Linked DNA regions of Sus scrofa. The protein of the gene in region 1 purifies or fractionates together with the protein of each later gene. This does not show direct contact. Links are inferred from orthologs where the notes say so. Each region holds a gene or a part of one and is shown on either strand. Other genes may lie near its edges.

The links.
Region 2: the proteins of FLCN (region 1) and FNIP2 purify together in Homo sapiens (affinity purification with western blotting; 5 studies listed by BioGRID and IntAct, with this or other methods). This does not show direct contact. The link is inferred for Sus scrofa from reciprocal best matches to the Homo sapiens genes FLCN and FNIP2.

The regions. Positions count from the first base shown.
Region 1 is NC_010454.4:61,035,461-61,039,266, forward strand, and holds part of FLCN (folliculin), read left to right. Parts: coding exon 1-37; intron 38-838; coding exon 839-1,060; intron 1,061-1,706; coding exon 1,707-1,867; intron 1,868-3,806. UniProt on the Homo sapiens protein: Multi-functional protein, involved in both the cellular response to amino acid availability and in the regulation of glycolysis.
Region 2 is NC_010450.4:47,775,796-47,779,601, forward strand, and holds part of FNIP2 (folliculin-interacting protein 2), read left to right. Parts: coding exon 1-90; intron 91-191; coding exon 192-263; intron 264-2,292; coding exon 2,293-2,393; intron 2,394-2,563; coding exon 2,564-2,653; intron 2,654-3,806.

The DNA.
Region 1 (3,806 bases):
CGTCCGCCAGGCCTGCGTGCGGAGCCTGAGCTGTGAGGTGAGCGGCCCGGGCCCCTCCCGCTCCCCGGGCCCCGGGCCCTGGGGCCAGCGCCGCCTCCGTGACCAGCGGAGGGCGGCTGGTGGTGCTGCCAGACAAAGCCGGCCGGGCCGAGCGGGCGCGGGCGGCCTCGGGGCTCCGCGTGCGCCCTGCCCTGGTGGAGGCTGGCCCGTGGCCAGCTTGGCGCTTGAAGCCCCCGGCCCTCAGGGAGCGGCTGTTCACGGACGCGCTGCTCACGTCCGGTGTCGCTTCCCCGCCTCGTCCCCGTCAGTCGCTGTGTGCTCTCCGAGCCGCCTGGCGCGGGTCGGGACGTCTCAGATACGCAGCTGCCGATGTCGTGTTCCCGCCTTAGCCTGTGTCCTCGTCACAGAGGATGCAGTCTGGGGGCAGCCGCTCCTTGTCGCGGGGTACCCCTGCTGAGAAACACCAGGCTCCCTCGCTGCTGGTCCTGGGCGCCGTGTGCCCGCCTTGCTGCCCCCTGTTCCCCTGCTCAGGGTGGGTGTGTGCTGGGCGGGGTGTCGGGAGCGAGGCCCACGTCTCCTCCAAGTCTTGTCACACGGTCGTCGCTGCGCGGCTGTGTAGACCTGCCAGCACTCCAGGGTGGCCCCGCGGGGCGAGGTTGCGACCTTGCGTCGTGGTTTATGGCTCGAGGTGGGGGGAGGCGGGAGCCCGCCGGCCCTCGCGGTTCTCAGGGTCGCATGTCACCTCTAGGAGGCCCCTTTCCTCTGTCCCCTCGCCCTTCCCGCTCTCCGCGGGGTTCGCCGAGGACGGCGCCCCGGAGCAGGTGTCCCCGTCCCGCAGGTCTGCCCCGGGCGCGAAGGCCCCATCTTCTTCGGGGACGAGCAGCACGGCTTCGTGTTCAGCCACACCTTCTTCATCAAGGACAGCCTGGCCCGCGGCTTCCAGCGCTGGTACAGCATCATCGCCATCATGATGGACCGCATCTACCTCATCAACTCCTGGCCCTTCCTGCTGGGCAGGGTCCGAGGGATCATCGACGAGCTGCAGGGCAAGGCCCTCAAGGTGACCGGGGCCGGGGCTCCGGCCGAGGCGCGGGGCGCCTCCTCCTCCACGGGCTCTCGAGTCTCTGGTTCTGGTCCCTGGACTCTGACTTTGCTGCAGGCGGAGCTCTGGTCTTGTCCCCGCTGGCTTTGCCGTCTCTGGCCGTGACCTTGGCGGCCTGTGTGCCCGAGGTTGCAGAGCCACGGCCAAGGTGCACCTGCGGCGGCAGGGCTGCAGCTCAGGACAGGCCGGTGGCGCTCTGATAACAAGCTCGAGTCTCATTGATGTTCTGCAGCCGTCGGCCAGGAGGGGGGCGGGGGGGGCGCGGGCAGCGGGGCAGATGGTCGATGGTCGGCTCGGCCGAAGTCCTGCTGCTTCTGCCTGCTGCCAGGCTCGGGGTGGGGTGGAGGCCTCGCGCCTCTGGCCCCTCCTTTCCCTGGGCGGTCACGTGTTCCACCTTTGCAGCTCTGAGCAGGGGGAGCCTCCCCGGCCCGTGAGGGGGGGACCCTTGCAGGGGCGGCTGCAGGAGAGCTTCCCGGCCGAGCCTCGTCTCCGGCGCCCGTGGGCAGAGCTGCTGTGCTCGCCAGGGTCTGGCAGCCGCCTCCAGGCTGGGGTGCCAGCTGCGCCCGGGCGCCCAGCCGGCTCTGACCCTCCCTGTGCGTGTCAGGTGTTCGAGGCGGAGCAGTTTGGGTGCCCCCAGCGCGCGCAGAGGATGAACACGGCCTTCACGCCGTTCCTGCACCAGAGGAACGGCAATGCCGCCCGCTCGCTGACCTCCCTGACCGACGACGACAGCCTCTGGGCCTGCCTGCACACCTCCTTCGCCTGGTAACGCGCCCCGCACAGCTGGCGGGGGGGCTGTGCTCTGGTTTGGGGGGCCGGGTCGCATTTAGGTGGGACTGGTTTCCCGATGTGTTTTGTGTTTGAGCAGCCACACCTGTGGCACTTGGCAGTTCACGGGCCAGGGACTGAACTGTAGCCTCGGCCCTGCTGAGTCCCTGCATCCGCTGCCCCAGGCCCGGGATCAGCCCCAGGCTCCACAGCATCCCCGGCCGCTGCGGCCCAGCGGGAGCTCCCTAGTGGATTTTTCAAAGTGATGTTTCTGTGCCAGGACGAGCAGTCTCCCCTTTCTCGTAAACAGCGGGGCGCGTTGGTCTTGCACAGCCTGGGGGTCTGCACTTGCCAGGAGCCCCGCCTGGTCTCAGCGGAGTTGCTTTCTCTCGAGGCTGGCGTGTCGTCGCCGGCTGTGTGGGGCAGTTGGATGGGACCTGCTTGCTCTTAGGACCGACCCCAGCAGCCCCCTGTGCTTCGTGCACGCGCTGTTTGTCACCAGTGTGCCCCTGTCGCTAGGCGCTGCCTGGCGGGAGGAGAAGGCTTGTCCCCTTCTTTTAGAGGGGGAAGCGTCGCCAGATTTGGGGGCGTGTTTGGAGACCACCCCGGTCTGTTTTCGGGCCGCAGGGGGTTTCTCCTCCTCCCGCTGCAGGCTGCGCTCCTTCCAGGGACCCCCCCACCCCCGACCTGCATCCGTGTGCAGCGTCCCCGTCAGGGCCTGGTGTGGAGGCTCCTCTCACGTAGACCCCTGAGTGCAGCTCCCGAGAACCTGCACACTAAGGCGGGAGCACCTGGCGTACAGTTCCTCCTGTCTTTCTTCCTAATAAAACGATTTTGAGAGAACAAGAAGGGGATTCCCATTGTGGCTCAGCAGAAACAAACCCAGCTAACGTCCACGAGGACGCAGGTTCAATCCCTGGCCTCACTCAGTGGCTTGAGAACCTGCTGTCGTCATCAGCTGTGGTGTAGGTCACCGCAAGGCTTGGATCTGGCGTTGCGACGGAGTGTGGTGTAGGTTGTAGACGTGGCTCAGGTCCTGCGCTGCTGTGGCCGTGGTGGAGGCCGGTGGCTGCAGCTCCGATTTCACCCCTGGCCTGGAAACTCTGTATGCCTCAGCTGCGGCCCTAAGAAGCAAAAAATAAAAATGAAAAGGCAGGAGGAGCCAGGTCAGGTGAGGCAGAAAGATTCTTTTTCTCTTCAGCTTGCAGATTCTCAGGAGCCGCACTCAAGGACTTACTTGTCAGAAGTGTCCTTTTATTTAGGGAAATTTTCACACGGACTCCACGTGTAACGAGCAGCCCAAAGAGCTGGACGCTCCCGTTGTCCAGCTTTAGCAGCTCCCTGCATCTTTACTGCCCTTTGATCTTCTTCTCGCCTTTTCTCTCAATCCTTTCTCTTTTTTTCCTCTTTATCTTCTTTTTTTTGGCTGCGCCTGCAGCGTATAAAACGTCCTGCCACAGCAGTGAATTGAGCCCCTATAATAACAGTGTCAGTTCCCTAAGCTGCTGGAACTCCCTTAGGATTTTGTGTGTGTGTGTGAGTGTTTTTGCCTTTTCTTGGGCTGTTCCCACAGCATATGGAGGATCCCAGACTAGGGGTCGAATCGGAGCTGCAGCCGCCGGCCTCCACCAGAGCCACAGCAACGCGGGATCCGAGCCGCGTCTTTGGCCTACACCACAGCTCACGGCAACGCTGGATCCTTCACCCACTGAGCAAGGCCAGGGATCGAACCCGCAACCTCATGGTCCCCAGTCGGATTCGTTAACCACTGCGCCATGACGGGAGCGCCTAAGTTTTTTTTTAAAGCGAGTCTTGGTTGTGTCGTTTCAGCCGTAGAGCCGCAGTCACATCCGTCCAGATGAGTGAAGCGGCCCGATAAGGCCACACAGCCCAGGCCGCGGTCCCTCTGCGGGCCCTGCCACTGGGCGGACTGTGT
Region 2 (3,806 bases), on another chromosome or scaffold:
AGCCTCCGACGTCAACATGCTGGGTGAGATGATGTTCGGCTCTGTCGCCATGAGCTACAAGGGCTCCACCCTGAAGATACACTATATCCGGTGAGTTGGGGCAGCTTCTGCAGCCATGCGACACAGACTGGGGTGCCCACCCTCTCATCAAACTCTTGTCTCTCCCTCTCTGCCCTTCTGTTTGTCTCCAGCTCTCCTCCACAACTGATGATTAGTAAAGTCTTCTCAGCCAGAATGGGCAGCTTCTGCGGGAGTACAAATAAGTAAGTCTGGGCTTTTGTATCTGCCCTCACCCTCCAACCCCCCTTTTCCTAAGTGGCTGTTTCTGGATGGGGTCATTATTTGGGGGCCAGGAGGTTTTTTTGAGAAGAGATGCAGAATGAGTCTACATCAACAAAAGGGTTTTCAAAGTGGCTATTGTCCCACACATAGGGAGTGTGAAAAGGCCTTGGACCTTATCAGGTAGCCCTAGAGACAAATGACTGTCTCTGCATATATTTTGGGTACGTTCACCAAGTTTTCATTCCCTAGAAAATGAAAAGGGGAAGGGAAAAAGGAGAGGCCACAGTAATGAGCTTATGTGATTATGAGCTTATGATATTATTTTACCTTAAAAAAAAAAAAAAAAAAAAACCTTAGGAGTTCCCATTGTCGTGCAGCAGAAATGAATCCAACTAGTATCCATGAGGATGCGTGTTTGATCCCTGGCCTCGCTCAGTGGGTCAGGGATCTGGTGTTGCCGTGAGCTGTGGTGTCAGTTGCAGATGTGGCTCAGATCCCACATTGCTGTGGCTATAGTGTAGACTGGCGGCTGCAGCTTCAATTTGACCCCTAGCCCGGGAATATCCATATGCCTCGGGTATGGCCCTGAGAAACAAAAACAAAAACCTCATCTGGGAGTTCCCGCTGTGGCACAGTGGTTAAGAATCTGACTGCAGCAGCTCAGGTCACTGAAGAGGTGTGGGTTCCATCCCTGGCCCAGAGCAGTAGGTTAAAGGATCTAGAGTTGCCACAGCTGTGGCTTGGATTGGCCCAGGAACAATGTGCCGAGAGTGTGGCCATTAAAAAAAAAAAAAAAAAAAAAAAAAAATTCTCATTTGTTAGTCTGTTGGTCTGTTTATTTCTGAAGGAGTGACGCACAGAGTGGGGTTCTCAGGCCAAGGGGCTCCTGAGTGGCAGGAGGGGCGTTCTGTGTTTGCCATCTCTCTACCGTCCAGTAGCCTCTGTGGCTGGTAGGGGCTAGGGCCAGGTGATATTTTGATTCTTCCTCCTGAATTTCCACCCCCCTTTGTTTTACACTTCTTTGTAATCTGAAAATACTTAAATGCCTAACTTAACTCTTATTCTAGCACATTTTTTCATATATTTTGAATTTTTCAAGCAGAAATATGTCATACATTCCTTTTTTTTTTTTTAATGAAACAGCAAAACATTTGTTATACGTAGGTAAGTTTGAAAGAAATGTTTGTTGTCAGTTAAAGGGCTATTCTTAGGGGTCACATGAAGGATGCTAATTTTACAGTCCTGGGAATTTGAAAGCATGTTTCTCTGAAGATTTGGGCACCACTGAGTAAATCTGGTGACTCTTCAATGGAATCATGAATTTACTTATTTGAACATTTAACACTGGATGGTCATGACTGACGCCAGTATAGGAATTGATGTTTATCTTTTGTGAGATATTCTTTTTCAGACCATTGATATTCCCTGAACATTTATACAACCCCCCCAATAAAATATTAAGGTCAGATATAAGTAAAAATTATGTTGGCCTCAGGATGCTATGTTATTCTCAAAATTTTTGTTTGTTAGTAAATACAATAAATTATTAAAATGTGCTTCTCTCATATGTGTATTTGTGATTGTAGTTTTTTAGAAGTTGTGAAGTCAAGCTCCTATAGGAATCATAGTTTCTGTCACATGTTCCTCTTGAAAAAAGTTTTAGATGTTAACTCAGGGTTAAACTGAATTTGACTTTGAAGGTTTATGTAAATATCCTGGGTGTCATTTTCCAAAGCAAGATGTGTAGAGTTCAGTGTTCCCCCCACCCTTACATAATATAAAATTGTTTGGAACATGTTATTTAGTTTTATAGGTTGAAGTACTCCCCAAAGCCTTACTTGTCCTTTCCTCCAGCAGATTCCCATAAAGTTTCCTTTCCTTTGGTAGATGTGAGACTTTATTTATAAAGAGAAGTCTGACCAACTGTCAGGGTGTCTGTATCCGTTAGCAAGCAACCTTCTCCGTCTCTTGATGTTTTTCTCCTCTCTCCCTTCCTCCCTCTGGATTTAGCCTGCAGGACAGCTTTGAATACATCAACCAAGATCCTAACTTGGGGAAACTGAACACAAATCACAACAACCTGGGTCCCTGTCGGACTGGAAGTAACTTAGGTAAAATCCACCGCATGGACGGCTTCCTTCTCGCCGAGCATCACTGTGGCGGGCGTGCGCTGTGCTTTACTTGAGTTGGTGGTGTCGTGTTGTTTTCGGCATTATCTTTAATCTGTGTTTATTTTTGTGTGTGTACCTTGTTTGCCCACCCGTGTGTGTCTCTGCCCCAGGTGTGCTGCAGGGATGTGGCAGCAAGCTGTCACGGGGGGCGGCCGAAGGAGGACCACTCCCGCTCAGCCGCAGTGCCTCCTTCTTCGCAGGTTTGTGGGGGACGCTGAGTGCCTGTGACCCACGCCCGCTAGTCAGTCCCAGGCAGGTTCTTAGAAGCCAGTCCTGTTTGGTGCCTCTCTAGGAATCCGAGGGGCTCTTAAGACACTAGTTTCCAATGCTGCCAAGTTCCAGGTGTTGTGGAAATTTCTCTCGCGAACCTCTGTTGTGAATGTCTCTGCTAACACCCAGGTGGAAGGTGATTTGGATCTGAAGTGAGCCCTTCGTGTTCCTAAGAGGATAATGTTTTCTGATGTTCCTCAGCCCCTCCTGCTGCTGTGAACTGTTTCCCTTTGCTGTGGCACCTTTGACCCTTTTATTCACCCGCACCCTCACCTGCAGTGTCTTCAAAAGTCACTCTAACCAGAGCATGGACGACCTCTCTTTCTCTCTCTCCTTCTCTCCCTTTCCCTAGCATTTGAGTAGTTCAGATGCACTTTCCAGCTTCTTTCCAGGTGTAATTGTCTCGGTCACTCCGGGTAGGTACATTCTGAGATTGGCCTGGCCTTGTTTGCCAAGGCTGTCGGATGTCTGCTGTGGTCCTGCATGAGCAACACGTATGGGAAGCCTCATTACTAACGTGAAAGATTGGGTTTATGGCAACCAGTGTTCTTCATTCTGTTTTCCTTCATAGCCTGAAATCCACTAGGCACCCCAGTTAACTGACCCCAGAGTGAGGATAACATGTTGATATATATGCTCCTTAAAATTGTGAAAATAAACATGCTTCGCCTAAGGGCTGGCAAGTATAATAATCAAGCAGGGCATCGGGCTCCCTGTACCCTGTAACTCACGGTAACTCACTGTGACATGTCAGCTACCATCCAGCTCAGTAAGTACGCAGTCAGACTGATCTGACATGTTCCTAGAGGTCTGTAACCCTTCAGAGGATTTTCTAAGTGGCTCTACAATAATACCATGTTTGGGTGTATATGGGGAAGAGGTGGAGGAAGAAATATTTGAAAATGAATATTGGTGTTTTCTATCTACCAAGAGAAGGGATTATAAACAGAGAGGCATTTTTTAAATGTATGAAATGGTTTTCGAGTCTTTCTCTTCTCTGGGATGCCTAGAGTTACTATCAGAACTGATTATAAAGCATTTTGGCAGTGCTCAATATTTGAAGTATTTCCGTATATCGAAAAT